Linked DNA regions of Nothobranchius furzeri. The protein of the gene in region 2 interacts with the protein of the main gene of each other region in a pairwise test. Links are inferred from orthologs where the notes say so. Each region holds a gene or a part of one and is shown on either strand. Other genes may lie near its edges.

The links.
Region 1: the proteins of pcbd1 (region 2) and hnf1a interact in binary tests that used the Homo sapiens proteins (3 or more experiments, as listed by UniProt). The link is inferred for Nothobranchius furzeri from reciprocal best matches to the Homo sapiens genes PCBD1 and HNF1A.

What each region holds. Positions count from the first base shown.
Region 1 is NC_091757.1:33,385,939-33,395,174, forward strand, and holds the end of hnf1a (hepatocyte nuclear factor 1-alpha), read right to left. Parts: intron 8,633-9,236; coding exon 8,433-8,632; intron 8,350-8,432; coding exon 8,169-8,349; intron 7,937-8,168; coding exon 7,734-7,936; intron 7,451-7,733; coding exon 7,308-7,450; intron 7,232-7,307; coding exon 7,090-7,231; intron 7,014-7,089; coding exon 6,840-7,013; intron 6,769-6,839; coding exon 6,653-6,768; intron 6,568-6,652; coding exon 6,483-6,567; intron 2,918-6,482; coding exon 2,790-2,917; 3' UTR 2,441-2,789; downstream 1-2,440. Other genes in the region: c17h12orf43 (protein CUSTOS), read left to right, coding at 94-202, 381-411, 1,507-1,605, 1,676-1,746, 1,841-1,928, 2,012-2,324. UniProt on the Homo sapiens protein: Transcriptional activator that regulates the tissue specific expression of multiple genes, especially in pancreatic islet cells and in liver. Binds to the inverted palindrome 5'-GTTAATNATTAAC-3'.
Region 2 is NC_091752.1:6,172,777-6,182,687, reverse strand, and holds the start of pcbd1 (pterin-4-alpha-carbinolamine dehydratase), read right to left. Parts: upstream 5,916-9,911; 5' UTR 5,621-5,915; coding exon 5,432-5,620; intron 4,896-5,431; coding exon 4,764-4,895; intron 1-4,763. UniProt on the Homo sapiens protein: Involved in tetrahydrobiopterin biosynthesis. Seems to both prevent the formation of 7-pterins and accelerate the formation of quinonoid-BH2. Coactivator for HNF1A-dependent transcription.

The DNA.
Region 1 (9,236 bases), on a different chromosome or scaffold from region 2:
AAAAGCGGCTAAAATGAGTAGTGTTATTTGGTACTAAAAGACTACATCACCCAGAATCCTTAGCTGGACGCAAACAACAGCACGTGGGCCAATATGGCGGCCCACGTTAGAGAGATGGTTTCTGAGGAGTCAAGTAGCGACGACGAAGAGCTTAGAAAGTGTCGAGAGGCAGTTTGGGACACTCAGACAAACAAAACAAAAGGTAAGTGTTTATTTTTATAATTTTTTTTGTCTCAGGGTAAGTAGTTAATACTGATAAACGTTTTAGTTAGACGAGAATACCACTTGTAGTAGTGAATTGTAGTAGTTGTTTAAGACTTGTGTAAATGAGGCATCTTTCTGAAGCAAAGGCTGACAACGATTTTATTTTATTTTTCCAGATGGAGACCGCAAAGTGAAAGACTCAAAGCGGTGAGTCGGTATTATAATGCGAATCACTACTACTACTAAACTTTATTTATATAGCGACTTCACATGGCCCAAGGACCAAACAAAGCGCTGCACAGCAGAAATTAATATAAAAAATAAAAACATAAAACCATTTAAAAACCAACAAAAACATGTAGATAAAATCTAGGTGGGGCAGCAAAGAAGTGCGCGTTAGCTTAACATGCTAAATCAGTGTGTTGCCTGTATTTAATTTTATTTAGGTGGCAGCGAGTTACAAAATAGCGGAGAACGCATCTAAATCTGCGCTGTATTTTACTGAAGAAAAATAAATATTTTGTAAGCTTCAGATGTTGCGAGGCTGCCACCGCCACGATTTGAGCTCGGCCCTGCTGATTAAATGAAGATCTGCTGCTGCTAAATGACTGCTCCGTATTTTAGCGTCTACAGAGTGAAAAACACACCAAAGCTAGAATCTTCGGTCAAAACAAACCTTAATCAGTATTAATACAGAATAGATCAAAACCATATTATGTCGATGATCAAAACACACTCACTGTGTTCATTCATACACGTGTGCATGCATATCTTTTGACTCATCTGTCATCACTTCCTATTTTTTTTCTCCTTGTGGCACAAATATGCAGGTGTACTTTTGAACAATAACATAAAGCTTAAAGGACCCAGATCATGCTATTTTAAACACGTGAGAGCAAAGGTAGGCACAATAGCGCTATTGAGATGCAATTTCATCTTAGATGCGAGTTATTTTCATCAGCCAGAGTTTGCTCCTGGAAATGAACCACTCTGAAGCTCTGCCTGTGTCCACTTCAACTACAACAGCATCTTAGTAAGTTTATTTTTATAGCACTTTCACTGACAAGTCACAAAGTGCATCACGGACAACAGTATCTTAAGGCTTTTCCTTAAAATCTTAAAACTTGCAGCTGAGACAGGAAAATGCATAAACGCTGCCAAAAAAAAGGGGTTGGGGGTATTTTTCATGAGGAATTAACTGTCACAAAGTAAAAAGCTCCAAAATGTGGATTTTCCATGATATGGTCTCTTTACTGTTTTTTTTTTTTTTTTTTTTTTTTTTTTTTTTTTGTCCTGTAACAGTATTGTTGTCGCTGCTCATGAACATGATGGCAACGAGCTCCAGGTCACCAAAGGATTTCAAACACATGTGGCTAAAAAGCTGGAACATTTTCTTGACAGGTAACTTGATAGGAAAATATGGTACTGATATTGGGAAATTTGATTTTAATCAGTGTTGTGTGATTTACAGTTGCATTTCAGAAATGAAGCCTAAAACCTTAAATTGTTTGGAAACTACAAACAGTGATGACATTGGTGATGGTAACGTTTCAGCATTTTAAGCAGATTTTGTTTTTACCCTTTAAAAATATTTTTTTAAACTTATTTATTTATTTATTTATTTATTTTCATTTAGGTTTTCATCTGTTTTCTACATCCATCCCTGGACAGAAAGCTGATAATCCTCCCGAACCAGTGAGGCGTCGGCCTGTTCCCAGCTCAAGGTTTTTCACTTTTTTATCTATTTATTTTTGAAAGATTTAATTATCAGTTTGACTTCTGTGTAACATTTCTCTGCCTCTTACAGTGACAGCGACAGTGAAATGGAAACAAGGCTGAAGGAGGCAGTGGTGTCAGTGAAAGATCTGTTGCCTTCATCAACATTTACCTCCACTGCATCCTCTTCATCATCAGAGCCTCACAACTCAGAAAAAACACAGAGAAAGAAGAAAGTTGCAAAGGAAGAAGCGAGTCATGTTGTCAGGAAAAAGAAAAAGAGGAAACAAAATGATGGAGAGAGTGAGCAAGTGGACTCTGGTGAAGATGCTCATGATGAAAGCAGCAGTGAGCACAGGAACCTGGAGCAGGAACACATGAAAATAAAACAAAACAAAAAATAAACACAAACAAAGAAACTTTGAGCTGAGATTTGACAGTAAACATTTTTGTGGGTTTTTGTTTGTGTGTTGAAGTGAGTTTTGGGATTAAAATGGCTTCAGAATAAAGAAGGGACTCATTTTGCTCGTTTCAAAAACTTAATTCTCATGAAAACTTAAAAAAAGCATTTTGGTTGCAAATTTAAAAAGAATATAAATTGCATTTATACCAGAAGTTACAAGTTTTTAATTTTACAGAATATTATTTTAATAAAAATAGATGCTGGTGTTGATCTTGTTAATCCTCTGCTGATTTCAGTAAGTCTCTTCTGTGACTACACTTGAATAAAGTTGAGACATCGTGATTATAGCCTTCTGTCTCCAGGTTTATCTGGAAAGGTACACCAGCTGTAGATGCCCGTCCCAAAACCCCATCAGGCTTTAGAGTCCAGCTGAAGGGCAGGAGACACGAAAGAGCCAGAGAAGGTTTTACTGTGCTGTGGAGACCATTTGTGAAGGCATGTAGGAGCTGATGTCTGTGGGTGAAGATGAGAGGAGGTGAGGCTGATGACGTTCTGTCTGGGAGGAAGGATACAGCTCCAGGCTCTCAGAAGCAGCTGGGAACAAAAGTTAGAAAATATGTTCATTTCAAGCTTTTGTCCAGAAAATGTTGCTGTTATAAGTATTATCACTGCAGCTAACTTGGCAGACATTTAAAAATCCATTTTGACAGAAGACCAAATGATTAAATATTCAACTAGTTTTATACACAGCAGTTAAGAGTAATTTGAAGATTTAGGATTAAAAGTTGAAACTATATGGAATTATCTTTAGTAAATAAATATTGGTAACATTTCTTTAAAGGTGCAATATGTATGAATATAATAAGAATTTTAAAGTGAGAAAATCCCAAAAGAGTAATGTTTCAGTCATTTTGGGAGGAAGGTTATGCTGAAACATTTCATATCCAGCTGGCTGTGGTGATTGTCCGCTTTTCTCCTTTCAAAGCAAAGGAAGGAGGGACGTAGCTACTGTTTACCATCAGTGAGCGTGAGGTTGTCATGTCTCTGCGAGCTAAAGCCTGATTTATACTTCTCCGTGTGCGTCGGTGCCGAGACACGCAACGCCATTACACGCCATTGGCGCAAGGGCTCTTCGACGAGCTCACAGAGGGTAATGGAGACATGCCCAAAATTTTAAACATCCGTCGAAAGTGACGGAGACCGCAAGCTTGTGACTAGTCAGGACGCCGCTTCCTGTAAATTCATTACCAGCACCGCCTTTGCCTCATTAAAAAGTAAAAAGCTATCTGGCGGCAGACCCAGAACAGATTGAAGAACGCATCGCTGAAAAAGTCCAAAAACATGAACGTTTATTCACCCGTGACTGAAGGAGTACAAAAAACATGGATGGAAATGATGGGAAACGTGGGTTTAGAGGTGGCGGAGAACGAAAGACAAATTTGTCTGTGTTATAAAGTCTCTGAAATACATAAACACATTAGTAAATACACAATCGTGGACCAGATACACGAGTGTTCTGGTGGCAGGACCACAGAAAAGGGCAACGCCCTCTTGTTATCCTAGTGGGGAATTGTTTTGCAACACTCCGCTGCCTGCACATGTGGAATTCTTTCCAATACTCCATGTGGGTGTCTCCGTTGTGGAGCTCAGAGAAGTATAAACTACTGCAGCCGACAATTGTACTTTGACGACAGCCGGCGAAAAGCTCCACAATTATGTAAAGTGGTTGCAGTAATCAAATTTAACCACAGGATGACATTTTTTACTTCAGCTCTACATACAGGTGCTGAACACAACAATAAAAAGCAAGCACATTAAAAAATACAACAAAAGATAAAAAAAATTAAACAGATTAAAAACAACAATTAAAAACAAGACAAAGTTGTAGACCCCGTGGTGAAAGTTGTTTCTTATGTGTCAAAACAACAATGGTTTAAACCTTGAGTTTAGAAACTCTTTTCATTTATAGGCCAGACTTGTATGGCTTAGTAACAAAGACTTTCTCCGGGTACAAAAAATCAGCATAAATCTAAAGACAACCTTTGAAAAACCTGCAGGAATTTCGACCAAGGCCTTTTAAACAGATGACAAGAAAAGCACAAAGAAACAAGGCCTGGGACTCTGTAAACCTTTTTTCTGTTTGTGTAAAAAAGATAACTTATTTCTTCCATAACGCCCGATTTGTATCACTTTGGTTTGTAAGCTGTTAAAACGACCCTTTCATTTATTAAACATGTCCTCTAACGCTTGTCAACAATAAACCCAAACAATAGGTATCTCTTTAACAACGGGGTAGCTTAATGTCTAATATACAGGTGCTGGCCAGTAAATTAGAATATCATCAAAAGGTTGAAAATATTTCAGTAATTCCATTCAAAACGTGAAACTTGTACATTATATTCATGCAATGCACACAGACCAATGTATTTCCAATGTTCATTACATTTAAATTTGATATTCATAAGTGACAACTAATGAAAACTCCAAATTTGGTATCTCAAAAAATTAGAATATTCTGAAAAGGCTGAATATAGAAGACACCTGCTGCCACTCTAATCAGCTGATTTACTCAAAACACCTGCAAAGGCCTTTAAAAGGTCCCTCAGTCTTGTTTTGAAGGCACCACAATCATGGGGAAGACTTCTGACTTAACAGCTGTCCAAAAGACAATCATTGACACCTTGCACAAGGAGGGCAAGACACAAAAGGTGATTGCTAAAGAAGCTGGCTGTTCGCAGAGCTCTGTGTCCAAGCACATTAACAGACAGGCGAAGGGACGGAAAAAATGTGGTAGAAAAAAGTGTACAAGCTCTAGGGATAACCGCACCCTGCAGAGAATTGTGACGACAAACCCATTCAAAAATGTGGGGGAGATCCACAAAGAGTGGACTGCAGCTGGAGTCAGCGCTTCAAGAACCACCACGAGGAGACTCATGAAAGACATGGGATTCAGGTGTCGCATTCCGTGTGTCAAGCCACTCTTGAACAAGAAACAGCGCAAGAAGCGTCTCGCCTGGGCCAAGGACAAAAAGGACTGGACTGATGCTGAGTGGTCCAAAGTTATGTTTTCTGATGAAAGCAAGTTCTGCATTTCCTTTGGAAATCAAGGACCCAGAGTCTGGAGGAAGAGCGGAGAAGCACAGAATCCACGTTGCATGAGGTCCAGTGTAAAGTTTCCACCGTCAGTGATGGTGTGGGGTGCCATGTCATCTGCCGGTGTTGGCCCACTCTGTTTCCTGAGGTCCAGGGTCAATGCAGCCGTCTACCAGGAAGTTTTAGAGCACTTCATGCTTCCTGCTGCTGACCAACTTTATGGGGATGCAGACTTCACCTTTCAACAGGACTTGGCACCTGCACACAGTGCCAAAACCACCAGCACCTGGTTCAAGGACCATGGTATCCCTGTCCTTGATTGGCCAGCAAACTCGCCTGACCTTAACCCCATAGAAAATCTATGGGGTATTGTGAAGCGGAGGATGCAATACGCTAGACCCAACAATGCAGAGGAGCTGAAGACGACTATCAGAGCAACCTGGGCTCTCATAACACCTGAGCAGTGCCACAGACTGATCGAGTCCATGCCACGCCGCATTACTGCAGTTATTGAGGCAAAAGGAGCCCCGACTAAGTATTGAGTGCTATACATGCACATTCTTTTCATGTTCATTCTTTTCAGTTGGCCAACATTAGAGAAACAAACATTTTTTCATTGGCCTTTAGAATATTCTAATTTTCTGAGATACCAGATTTGATGTTTTCATTGGTTGTCACCTATAAATATCAAAATTAAACGTAATAAACATCGGAAATACATTGGTCTGTGTGCATTGCATGAATATAATGTACAAGTTTCACGTTTTGAATGGAATTACTGAAATATTTTCAACCTTTTGATGATATTCTAATTTACTGGGCAGCACCTGTAATGTTACTGAAGAAAATGTCAAACATTAAAATTAATCCCATCATAAAGAAACTTTTAACATTTAATCTAAAATGATGTTTAATTGCTTGTAATAACTATAAAAACAATTAATGAGTGAGTAACAACTCAGGTAATCAAAGTGCCTTTTAAAAAGGCTCAGTCCTTGATTTATGTTGGGGATCTGTTGGTAATGTCTGCAACACATTCAGCAGGCCTGTATTAAGTGTGTTTTACCTGGCACAGGTGTGTGTGGCTGCAAGTGTAAAGAATCCTCCTGTATAGGTGAGTCTGTGTCTTCATCTGGATCTGCTGTTAGGATCTGAACAAAACCAAATTGAGGAAGAAGATGTGAAGATTAGATTCCTGAGACTCTGAGAGAGCAACAAACCCATCAGAACCAGTACCTGTCTGACTGCAGCCAGACTGGTGAGTGTCCCCAGACTGCTGCTGTCAGCGATGAGCATGGCCTGAGACAGCAAACTGGATGAGTGGTACTGGGGTGAGTCCAGCTTGTTATACACTATGAGGAAGAACAGGCGCCTCAGTATTCAGCTCTTGTGTTAAACTGCTGTGATGTTGTTGAGGTCTTACTGTGACATGGCAGCTGTGCCATGGTCGCCATGAAGGGGCTCTGGAGCTGCTGAGGTATCTGCTGCTGGTGGGATGTGTGGAGCTGCTGCTGGAATGAGATCGGCTGGAGGGTGGTGAAACCACCTCCCATGTTGTTTATGACAGGAACGGTCTGAGGCTGCGTGGAAGCTAAACCTGTATGTGAAACATCAGACGTCACAGTAAAAACCAAACACTAGACATAACCTGAAAAATGAAGCATCTGTGTTACCGATGAGAAGAGAAGACTCCCCGAGACTCATGACGCTGGGCACTGAGGCCATGATGAGGCTTTGTGAGGAGGCAGGGGGGGCAGACAGACTGTGCAGAGAGGTCAGAGTGCTTACTGGGGGCAGTGGGCCACTGCTGGACACCTGTAATCAAAGAAAAAGCATGGTCATGATGGCATCTTTGATGGCTGACGAAGAATACAGGAGCACATCATCTCACCAGCTTAGGGTTATGGTTCTCAAGGAGTGTGTGGCTGGGTTCCAGTTGGACGGGACTGACCACAAGATGCCCCACTCGCTCCCCTGCGCTGCTTCTCACTGAGCTAGCTGGCTCACATAATATGTGCTGACTGTATTTCACACCTGGATAATAATGACAGGTCAGGTTTCAGAGCAAATACAACAATGATGGTTAACACACACATCAGAACCAGTATAGTCAAGTACTCTCTCCACAGAAAAGCTGTTTCAGCATGACACACAAGCTTTAAATTCTGAGAAAAGGTTTCCAAATGACCCCTGCTTTTAATTTGGTCGCCTTCTTCGTTTTTACTATAGATTTAGATTTCTACTTTATAAATGTTTACATTTAACCTTTTCCTTTACAATCATCGCCTCATAGATGCGAGGGTTGCTGAGGTTTTACCATGTTCAGGACTTGGAGGAAGTGCGTGATTGGAGGAGGGAGCCGACTGGGTGGTGAAGGATGTGTCCAGGGCCAGCTTGTGGCGAAAGGCCTCCTCTTTACGGCGGTTGGCGAACCAGTTGTACACTCGGACCTCAGTAACCAGGTTGGAGCCCAGACCTGCTAGCTGGGAGGGAGATACCCCTCTCTGGAGACACTCGGCCCTGATTTGGATACAACATAAACTGATAAATGGCTTAATTTTGTGAAAAATGTTGAATTTAACAACAGTTATTTATAAAATATGTTCATTTCACATATAACATGTTTTCAGGAAAGATATAGATTAGATTAAAGTTCATCTCAACATGTGAGACTAGATCAATTTGAAGCACGTAGCATTTATAATTCAGGTATTATCTGGCCAATTTAACCCCACTGAGGTCTGATCTTTACTTGTTACACTCCTCCACCAGTCCTTCCCTTTCTTCCTTGCTGGGGTTCTTCTGTCGTTCATAGGCGTTAAAGAGGATCTGCAGGGACGCTGGACCCCACTTGAACCTGTTCCTGCGTCCTTTCTTAGTCTCCTCCCCTTGTTCTTCTGCAGGTGCTAGACCGTGCTTAGCATTGGTGAACTCTGGAGAGGAATGAAAGACGTTACCGTGACCAGTGTGTCTCCACAGCAAGAAGAGCATGCTCAACAAAAGCTTATGTACTCACGCTGGCTGATCTCACACTGCTTCTTGACGTACCAGCTGTACAGGGCGGCTCTCTTTTGGTTCTTCATGGGTGTGCCTTTATTGAGGTGCTGGGAGAGGTGGGACTGGTTGAGTCCCGTGGACTCTACCACCTCTCTCTGAGGTAGGTTGTGCTGCTGCATGTAGCTTTTCACCATTTTTGCAACATGCCAGGGGTCTTCCCTGTTCAGCAGAGGTGAAGGAACTTAATACATTTACTACATATTTGATAATTTCCAAATCTCTGGCAGAAATGGACATAAACACAAAACTTTGAAAAGCTATCGCCACCTTAGAGATTTACTTAGCATTTTTATTAAAAAACCCTTTAAAGTCTCAGATCAGCAATCGTAGTTCAGTATGAGACAAAGGTACCCTGAGTAATTACAAAATGCAATTTTCATACGATTTCATTTATTAAAGGAAAAAGCTATCCAAACCAACAGAGCCTAAACTTACTCACTGATTTCAACACTATTGGTGGCAGTGACTGCGTCTTTCAGATCTCTGGAAAATGTTTGCCCCACTCTTCTTTGCTTTGCTTAAATTCAGTCAAATCGGAGGTTTTCCAGCCCAGACGACCTATTTAAGGTCAAAAGTTATACATATCCTTTAGGGTTTTCTGGTAGAGAGCAGATTTTATGGTTTCTCCCAATCTCCAAACTTCCATTTCTATCTAAAATCATGGAGAAAAGAGCTTATGCTCAGCTTTCACTTCAAATTGAGGATCTTCATTTCCTAGAAAAACTCTAATCTGGTTTCAGACCAAATCATAGTACTGCCAATA
Region 2 (9,911 bases):
CTAACGCAAGGGTAGGTAACTCAAGTCCAGACTGATCGAGCTCTTTTGGAAATGTGACACTTATCTCTATGTATCCTAAATAAGGAACTGCTTGACCGTTTGCGCCCTCGACTTCTAACAGATTACTGATGGGTTTAATTGAGAGGTCAGGTAAGTGTTCTTGGTAAAAAGAATTGGCAATGGTGGTTACCTGGGACCCTGAATCCAGTAAACAATTACATTCAACACTGTTAACTGAGACTGTAGCTGTGCATCGCCCACCCACTAATCTTTTGGGAAGTTTTGGCACTGAATGAGCATGAACTGGCTTGCAAAAAAGTCTCTCTGTCCTTTCCTTAGAGGGACTTGGTTCTACTTTAGCACCTATCTGTCCCACGATAGGAGCTTCTACCGGTTTAAAGGAGGAGACTGAGCAATTGGCTTTGACATCTCCCACTCGCGCTGCTTCTGTCTAAGAGCAAGTCTTTTAGTTGCAACTAGTGCTGGATTTGGCTCGTTGCTACAGCTAGAAGCTATGTGCCCATCTTCTCCGCACTTAAAACAGTATCCAGGCTTTGGTCTGGGCACCACTGCTGTTATCTGCTGAATCTGTTTGGGCTCATCTGGAATTTTAGTCCCCACACGGGGTTTTGACTCTTTTTGAGTTTTCTTTGCCTTTTTATCTGTGTTGTTAACCTTAAGCTGTGCAATTTGGCTCCTGAGCTCAGCGATTTGTTTGCGTAAGTCATCACAGTTATCATCTATTTCCAGTTCACAAGTGTTTTTACTCTGAGAGCATGTTGTTTGCACATTTGAATACACTCTAGTTCGTTGTGCCCCTAAGTGTTGTTTCATGCGTGCTGCTTTAGTAGCCTGTTTGTCTTCTTCAGTGCGCAGTTTGAGGAGAAGTGCTGTAAAATGAGGCGGGTTGTCTTTCTTTTGTTCGAGTTGCAGGTTTGAAATCAGCGAGCTGTCCCAACAGCCTCTGCAAAACTGCTTGAGCAGCTGCTGGTCGGCGTCACTGGAGGAAATTCCATTCCTCTGAATAACTAGGTTTAACAAGGTGTATAACCTCTGAAAGTAATCGGAAGGTTTTTCACCACTGTCCTGGTTTGTGTTTAAGAAGCGAGCAAAGAGCTCGTCGCCGTCTTCGACAGCTGCGTAAGCTGAATCGAGATGTTCAAGGTACGTTTCCGGGTCGGATTTTGGACTAAGAGCTTTAACGATGCTCGCTGCTGGGGCTGACAGACTCTCCACGATTCTTCGTACAATTTGGGACTTGGTGAGTGAAGGATCATTTATGCATAACACTACACTACTACGCCAAGTATCATAGTCAGTTTCAAAAGAAGGGTGTGGAACTCGCCCTGAGAACGGTTTTAGTCTGTATTGTGAAGTAGGCGGAGGGATAACCTCACTGCTTTTAACAATGTGTTCCACAATAACTCGCTGAACCTCAGGTGTGTTTAAAAGATTTGGTGGAATGCAAGGGTTTTGTTTTCCAGTCTCTGTAGGTGGACAATTGTCCTTTGAGTTGTTCATATAGTTAACTTCTGGTGTTAAAGGCAGGGAATATGTAACTTGGTCACTATGGAGCATTGGCTCTAGTTCAGTGACTGGTTCAGATGCATGGGTATCCCTTCCTAAAGATTCCCCAATTTTTGCCAGTTCCTCCATTAGAAGGTCTTTAAATGATTGATTGCTACGCGCAGCTATGTCCCTGAGCTCTGACAGATAGGCATCAGTGGCAGATGTGCTAGTTTCTAGACTGTACGCGCTGGCTAGGTCTTGAATATGGAAGAAAACATTTGGGTTCCTAGTACAAGGTTTGTCATAGGGTAAACATTGTTTCTTTAATTCCTTAACAGTGGCTTCATGTTGAAACTCCACAATAATCTGATCACAGTTTGGTAACTTAATGCGCCTGTTAACTGGTCCGAATCCTTCCATAAACCCAAAGACTTCGTTATCAAGGTCTGTATCAGTTAACCCACTGATTAAAACAGCATTTGAAACTTTGACCTTTTCTGTTTTCACAACTTCCATTTTAAAACACTCAAAAGTACCAATAATGCCAAAATGGCAAACCACTGTGACCTCCAGGCACTCTTATGATGTCAGTCAAAGGTTAGCTAAGGTAACAACTCTACAATTCTCCTGGCTGGCTCGCCAAGTTTTATGTAACCGGATTACAGGATACAATAAGATAATTAAAAGAAAAAATAAACAAATGGGCCAATAATTAGGTTCGGGGAGAATTGGAGGTTGTTTAAGAATGGCTGGAGTCACGGGTATAGCATGAAACGGTTTATATACTAAATTTTAATAATAATGGGAAATATAACACATAAAGATAACACACAAAAACAGATGAAAACAATCGACAATAGTAAAATGGTCGGTATGAGATTTGATCATATGAGTCACAAGTCAGCCGGCGTCAAGTCAAATCCCCACGCTTGGGGTGAAAGTCAGAGTCCGGTGGTGCGATTTTTTCCTACCACACCGTTGAGATTGTTCACAGAAGAGAGCAGTCTGCTCTTCAGTTACTTGAGATGTCCTGGTTCGTTCAGTGGTTAAGGCTCGCCATCTCCCTCGTCAGGAAGAAATCCAGTTCTCGTTCCAAGTGAGTGATCATAGGAGTCGGGATCAAACCCAAGGAAAAAAAAAACCCAGCCTGTAAACAACAGGACTGTTAGCGAGTTGGCATCGACCCTTCTCGTCACATCACAGCATAAAGTCTTACAGACTTAAACAAATGCTTCACTCTATTGGCATAGCCAATCATGTTTGGGTTCACAGTTCAACTAACATAACATCAATTTGATTGTCTATTAAAATAATTCTCAGTAGCTCTGGAAATATAATTACATATGACAACAATTGTTCAGCTCAATAGGCTCAGTTAGATTCTATTACTCTACACTATTCAACAAGAAATACATTCATGACAACAAGGATACATTTAGTTGTGTTTCTATACAGCATTGTGACACCTTGTATATCTGTAACACAATAAATAAATAAATAAATAAATAAATAAATAAATAAATAAAATGTTCTATAACAAAATTCAACAAAATATAAATTCTGGTCCTTTGGTCCACCTTTGTAAAATAATTCCTCCCTAATCAGTTAGCTTTTATTTATTTTTATTTATCTATTTTTTTTATTATTAAATGTTTGGTTAAGGGACGCATTGCTAATTCTATGGCGTTAGCTATAACGCCCCTGAGGACCTTGTACATCTAGGCCCTACCGCCGTTAACTGGCGGTTTGAGCCGTTAACTCCTATATGCCCTACCACCGTTAACTGGTAGTTTGAGATGTTAACTCCTGGGATCTAACGTCTAGCAGCCCACTGCTGTCACCTCGGTTGCTGTAATTAGCTTTTTGAATTTAATAATTTACTGAATTTAATCTCATTCACTCACCAACGCGCTCCAACGGTTCCCTCCTACAGAGGATTGGTTCACTCTGTCGTCTCCACACAAATCTATAAGAATGGAATTAATTTGATAAGCTATTTAAGTTTCCTTTTTTTTTTTTAAGTTGCATCGTTAGCTTTTTCTCTTCTTTTTTTCTTTACTCACCGCGTTGGTTCCAAGTTCCTAGCTCTTATTAGAAGGAGTCAAGTCCGCCTCTCCCTCTATCTATGCGGCACCCAAATCAGGGTTCTTCACGGCCTCGACCGTTGTTTTTTTTTCTCTCTCTCTCTCTCTCTAACCGCTCAGTCTTTGCTTTCTGTATCTGCGTGCTGCACAGCCGTTTGTCTCTCCTCTCGCTCAGCTGCGTCGCACGGTTTTATTTCGCGGAGGCGGGACTTATTTCTCTCAGCCAATGAAATTTCAGATTCCCACCTGGACCAATAGTATACAGCTTTCCTCTTCTGTTTCTGTTAGGGATGTTCAAGATTCTTGTTTTAACCGATGTTTAATATTAAACTCGTTATTTTAGTTATTCACCCTTCCAATAATTCATTATGAAATTATCTATTAGTTAATTAGATATCTATTAATTAGTATTGTTAATTTCCTTAATTTATATTTTATATTTTATCTAAATTGAGGATGGATCATATTAGTAAGCCAATTAGTTAATACCTCATTAAGGTTCTAGCTTCTGGGTTACATAAGCATAAGAAGAGAAAGATGTTCTCGATTTACCGGTAGATCTGCCCTCACCTATGGTCACGAGCTTTGGGTAGTGACCAAAAGAACGAGATCGCGGATACAAGCGGCCAAAATGAGTTTTCTCCGCAGGGTGTCTGGGCTCTCCCTTAGAGATAGGGTGAGAAGCTCGGTCATCCAGGAGGGGCTTGGAGTAGACCCGCTGCTCCTCCACATCAAGAGGAGCCAGTTGAGGTGGCTCGGGCATCTGGTCAGGATGCCTCCTGGTGATACCTCCGTGGTGAGGTTCTCCGGGCACGTCCAACCGGGAGGAGGCCTAAAGGGAGACCCAGGACATGCTGGAGGGTCTATGTCTCTCACCTGGCCAGGGAACGCCTTGGGATTCCCTGGAGAAGCTGGCCACTGCTGCCCCCGCTACCCAACCTCAGATAGGCAGATGAAAATGGATGGATGGATGGATGGATGGACACAGTGATCCAAATCAACATAGCTCTATGTGAACAAGTAGTTCACAAGTGAACTTAATAACTGCTTGACTTTGATTTTGAAATGTGTGCTGATCTGAAACATTTAGGTGTGGCAAAAGAAATCTGTAAACACACACACACACACACACACACTGAGTTTAGTAAGGAAGGAGTTAAGAGTAAAAACCTGATTGAAGTCTTTGAAGATAAACTCTTTGTAGATGGCATCTCGCCCCACCACCTCCACCCACTGGGCGTTGCGGAGCATCGGGAGTAGATGGGCTCTCTCCTCCTCAGTCAGACTCTGGATCTTTCCGGCCTGAGAGGACAACAGATTTCAGAGGGGCAGCTTCACAGCCACAAACTGTGATTGGCTGCACAGACTCCCATCTGGAAACAATGAGCAGCTGCATTCTGTTGTTTAAAAGCTAGCTGGTTGAGAGGTATTTAGTGGTGCGTGTGTGTGTGTGTGCGCGCGCCTGTGTGTGTGTGTGTGTGGGGGGGGGGGGGATCAAATGCTTCCTAATCTCTGTCATGTGGACTTTGAGTTATTCACTCACTCTGCTGACTCTCAGCTCAGAGGAGTTTCACATTTTAAACTCTCCCCTTCCAAGTGAACAACACGAGCAGGTTTTCCCGCCGCAGACAGGAACAAGAGCGGTGACAGCATCAGGTATCTTAGCAACGCAGTAACCTGGTTTATCAGCGGCGGGGATGTTGGTTTAGGTGCAGCGAAGCGTCCTCGTGACCGTCAGAGAATAATCAAACGTTTTTTCTTGTCTCTTAAAATAATTGTTGTACAAAGAAGTGAAAAAGTGTGCAGCCTGATTTTTTACACCAGGCTCGTGCACTCACCATGTTTGTAGTGTGTGTCCAGCTCCTGCCGCCTGTTGCACAGAGGCAAATGTGCTGTGACAGCCAGAGTGTAGCTGGAATGATCCCATCTGGGGAGGGGAGGACTGGGTCCTGCTTAGCTGCCCATGCAGGAGCCTGAGTAGAATCCCCACCCCAGCTGAAAGGCCCTTCAGCCAGCTGTTTAATCATGAACAGCCATCTGTTGCACAAGGCGCGCGGTGGGCCAGCTATCGCTGCAGGCTCTGTGACATAAAGGCCAGCTCTGTTTGCTCAGTGGAGACAGGAGGCTGAAGTTATATTAAAAACCAGCTGAGACTATAAACAACACAAAATCCTCTCTCCTACTGCTTAGTGAGAAAGAAGCTGAAAGACCAACTCCACAAGTGCGGGCCTTTAAAGAGCAAGTCACCCCCTACCAGAGTCTAACTCCACTCCCACTTCATGTTTGAAAAATGCAACAAATTCTGTTGCCTGGCAGACTGAGAGGGCGGAGCCGCTGACAAATACACACACACACTCAGGCTCACGACAGAATTGTGACATCATAAGGACCAGTTTACATCATAGCATACCTCTTAGCCAATAGCGGTGGCAGATTTAAATTCAAAGGCAGTGCAGAGTTTTTACCTGACAAAGGCACAACACTGACAGTTTTAGGCAGAATATTTAAATTTTAACTAAGATGCACTGAATTACCTAATTATTGACTACACGTGTCTGCAGCACGACTAGACACTCGTTTATTTAGTTTATCAGCAAAAAAAAGTTGATTTGGGGGTGACTTGCTCTTTAAAATAGTGGACCATTTCTCACATTTAGGGATAGAAATTAGGCGTAAGTTGAATTTGATTGTCAGATCTAATTATGAACTCCTAATGAATGACATAACAGGATTGATAGACCGATGGATGCCTTTATCTCTGTCTTTGATTGGCAGAATTAGTGTTATTAAAATGAATATACTCCCCAAAATACTATATGTTTTTCAAAATGTGCCTGTACCTCCACCAGCTGAGATTTTGGGGAAAGTTCAAAAGCTGCTTATTGAATTTATATGGAAAAATGCTAAAGCTAAGATTCGATTGTCTTTATTACACATACCACATAGTAAAGGTGGTTCAAAATGTCCTAATATAATCTGGTATTACTGGGCAACTCATTTAAGGTCAATTACATTTCATTTTGAAACAGGAGATTCCCCACAGTGGAGGGAAATGGAGTCAGAAGGTTTAAGTTTGCCATTGCCACCATCTCTGTACTCTGATCAAATTTCTGACCTAATAAAGAAAAGCAAAAACCCAGTCGTTAAAAATATGATTAATATTTGGTCGAAAATTCGGAAATATTTAAAAGAGCCTAATAATTTGTCTCTGTACACTCCAATTTGGGGTAATCAGCACTTTGCTCCAGGAAGAGCAGATACCATTTTTCAACAGTGAGCTTTAAAGGGGTTGAAGACGATATACGACCTTTATAATCCAAATTCCGATACTCTAATATATTTAAGTATAATATAAATAGAAATTATTTCTTCAAATATCTTCAACTCAGAAGCTTTGTCAGAACCAATCAAAATTAAAGCTGCAAGCAGCGTCGTTCGGCCCTCGCAGCGAAGCTGCTCGCCCTCCTTCCGCACCCCCTCCGCTCCATCCCCGACGCTCTCCAAACCCAGCTCCGCGCTTGTCCATCCTGGACGGCAGCCGGGGGCACCAGGGCACGTCTGGCAGAACAGAAAGTCAACCACCCCGACACCAGAAACCGTGAACGGCCTCCTCGTCCACACCTCACCCTGATTCAGCATCCCCTCTGAGCCCAGCATTACACGTCTCACCACTAGGAGATACTCTATCTTTACCACACTGGTGATGTGATGTTCAGTCTCTGGCAAATCGGAGGCTGTTTGTGGAAGTTACAGTCAAACGTAAGGTCACAGCGTCACGCCAGAAATCGCCATGGCATCAAAGCTCCTCCCTTTCTGAAAAGCTATCAGATCTGAATAGTCATTAGAACATCATGAAGACAGTGCATGACCTTAGTGTCATGTTGACTAAATTAGAGGGGACAAATATGGGCATTTCACCATAAAACAGAAGACTTCCTGTAGTCAGGGGGCGGGGCTTAGGTGATGCCAGCTGTCCACATTGTCACTGTCTTCAGATGTGGTCAGTGATCACATGGACAAAGTTTGAAATTGATCTGATCATGCACAAGGGAGTTATTGAGTCAAGTAACGTAATGGCGACTGGTCAAAGTTTGAGGCTTAGCCACGCCCACACCTTTATACTTATTTAAAATCCGACGGTTGAATCTTTTCCTCTATGTCTTAAGAGTATATAGCAAGAGTTTGAAGGTGATCGGTGGAAAGGGCGACGAGACATCATTCTCCTAATAACGTGTGCGAAAACCACTAAATCGAGTACTTGGACCAAAATGGCCGACCTCCTGTGCGACATTGCGCTTGGCTCCAAGAGACTTTTTTGTAGGTCCTGAGACACTACATTAGTGTGCCAAATTTCGTGATCCTCAGTCAAAGCACGGCTTGGGGCTGACAGTTTTAATGGTCCTAGGGGGCGCTATTTCAGAAAATAGGCCACGCCCACAAACTTCAGCTGTCCAATTCTATTAGGGGTCAGAGTAGGATCACTCATCAGAAATTGTGTGGCGATGTCACAATGATTGAAGAAATGAGAGACAAACGTATTTCCATGGCGTGATGGCGAATTTCGCCATGCTCCCAAAGCCCCGCCTTTATTCGAAAGCTGCCAGTACTATAGACCAAGTGACCTCAACTTGTCTGCTGCTATTTGCCAGTGATTGCTGGTGATTGGTTAAAAGGAGTCCAATAGGGAGCTGTGAAAAAAAGAGTGGCGTGGCGACAGGTCAAAGTTTGAGGCTTAGCCACGCCCACACCTTTATACTTATTTAAAATCCGTAGGTTGAATTTTTTCCCCTTTGTCTTAAGAGTCTATAGCAGAAGTTTGAAGGTGATTGGTGAAAAGGGCAATGGTGTAACACTCTCCAAACAACGTGTGCGAAAACCACTAAATCGACTACTTGGACCAAAATGGCCGACTTCCTGTGCGACTTTGCACTTGGCTCCAAGAGACTTTTTTGTAGGACCGGAGACACCACATTAGTGTACCAGATTTCGTACTCCTCAGTCAAAGCATGGCTAGGGGCTGACAGTTTTAATGGTCCTAGAGGGCGCCATTTCAGAAAATAGGCCACGCCCACAAACTACAGCTGTCCAAATCTATTGGGGGTCAGACTAGGATCACTCACCAGACATTTTGTGGTGATGGCACGATAATTGAAGAAATGAGAGGCAAACGTATTGCCATGGCGTGATGGTGAATTTTGCCATGCTCCCAAAGCCCCGCCTTTTTTCAAAACCTGCCAGTACTGGAGACTAAGTGACCTCAACTTGTCAGCTGCTATTCGCCAGAGATTGCTGGCGATTGGGTAAAAGGAGTCCAATAGGTAGCTGTGAAAAAAAGAGTGGCGTGGTGACAGGTCAAAGTTTGAGGCTTAGCCACGCCCACACCTTTATACTTATTTAAAATCCGACGGTTGAATTTTTTCCTTTATGTCTTAAGAGTCTATAGCAGAAGTTTGAAGGCGATTGGTGAAAAGGGCGATGGAGCATCACTCTCCAAACAACGTGTGCGAAAACCACTAAATCGAGTACTTGGACCAAAATGGCCGACTTCCTGTGCGACTTTGCACTTGGCTCCAAGAGACTTTTTTGTAGGTCCTGAGACACCACATTAGTGTGCCAAATTTCATAATCCTCAGTCAAAGCATGACTTGGGGCTGACAGTTTTAATGGTCCTAGGGGGCGCTATTTCAGAAAATAGGCCACGCCCACCGGATGTTCACATCACATTTTGTGGGGGGCTGAACTAGGATCACTCCCAAGAGGTTTTGTGGCGATATCTCTAGAAATGACGAAATGGGAGGCAAACGTAAGGCCTAAGCGGTACGCCTGACTTCGCCGCGCCGCCACAGCCCCGCCTTCTGGAGAAAACTCCCATAAAGTGACGCCAAGCAACCCCAACTTGTCTTCAGTTACCCGCTACAAATTTGGGGTGGTTATTGGAAAGGGCGAATTTTGGAAAATTTCCCAGTAAATCTTGACCTTTTAAGTCCTGAGGGGGCGGGGCTTATGTGACATCATCAATCGACCATTCATTTGTCTTCGGAGGTCGACGACGATTGTCCTTAGAACATTTCTTTAACTGTAATTCTTTCATTTATGAATCTATAGCAATTTGAATTTTTTTGGCGAGTGCTCGAACTTTGAGGCCTGGTCCCGCCCCTTCAGTATTTACGAAAAGTCAATTTTATTGTCTCATTTTAATCGTCCATCGCTTCTGTTCGATCGCACACTATTTTTGAGACGATCGTGCGAAAAATGACCAAACTGTTAAACCAAATATAGACCCTAGAAATGGCCAAAACGGGGTCAAAATGGCCACTT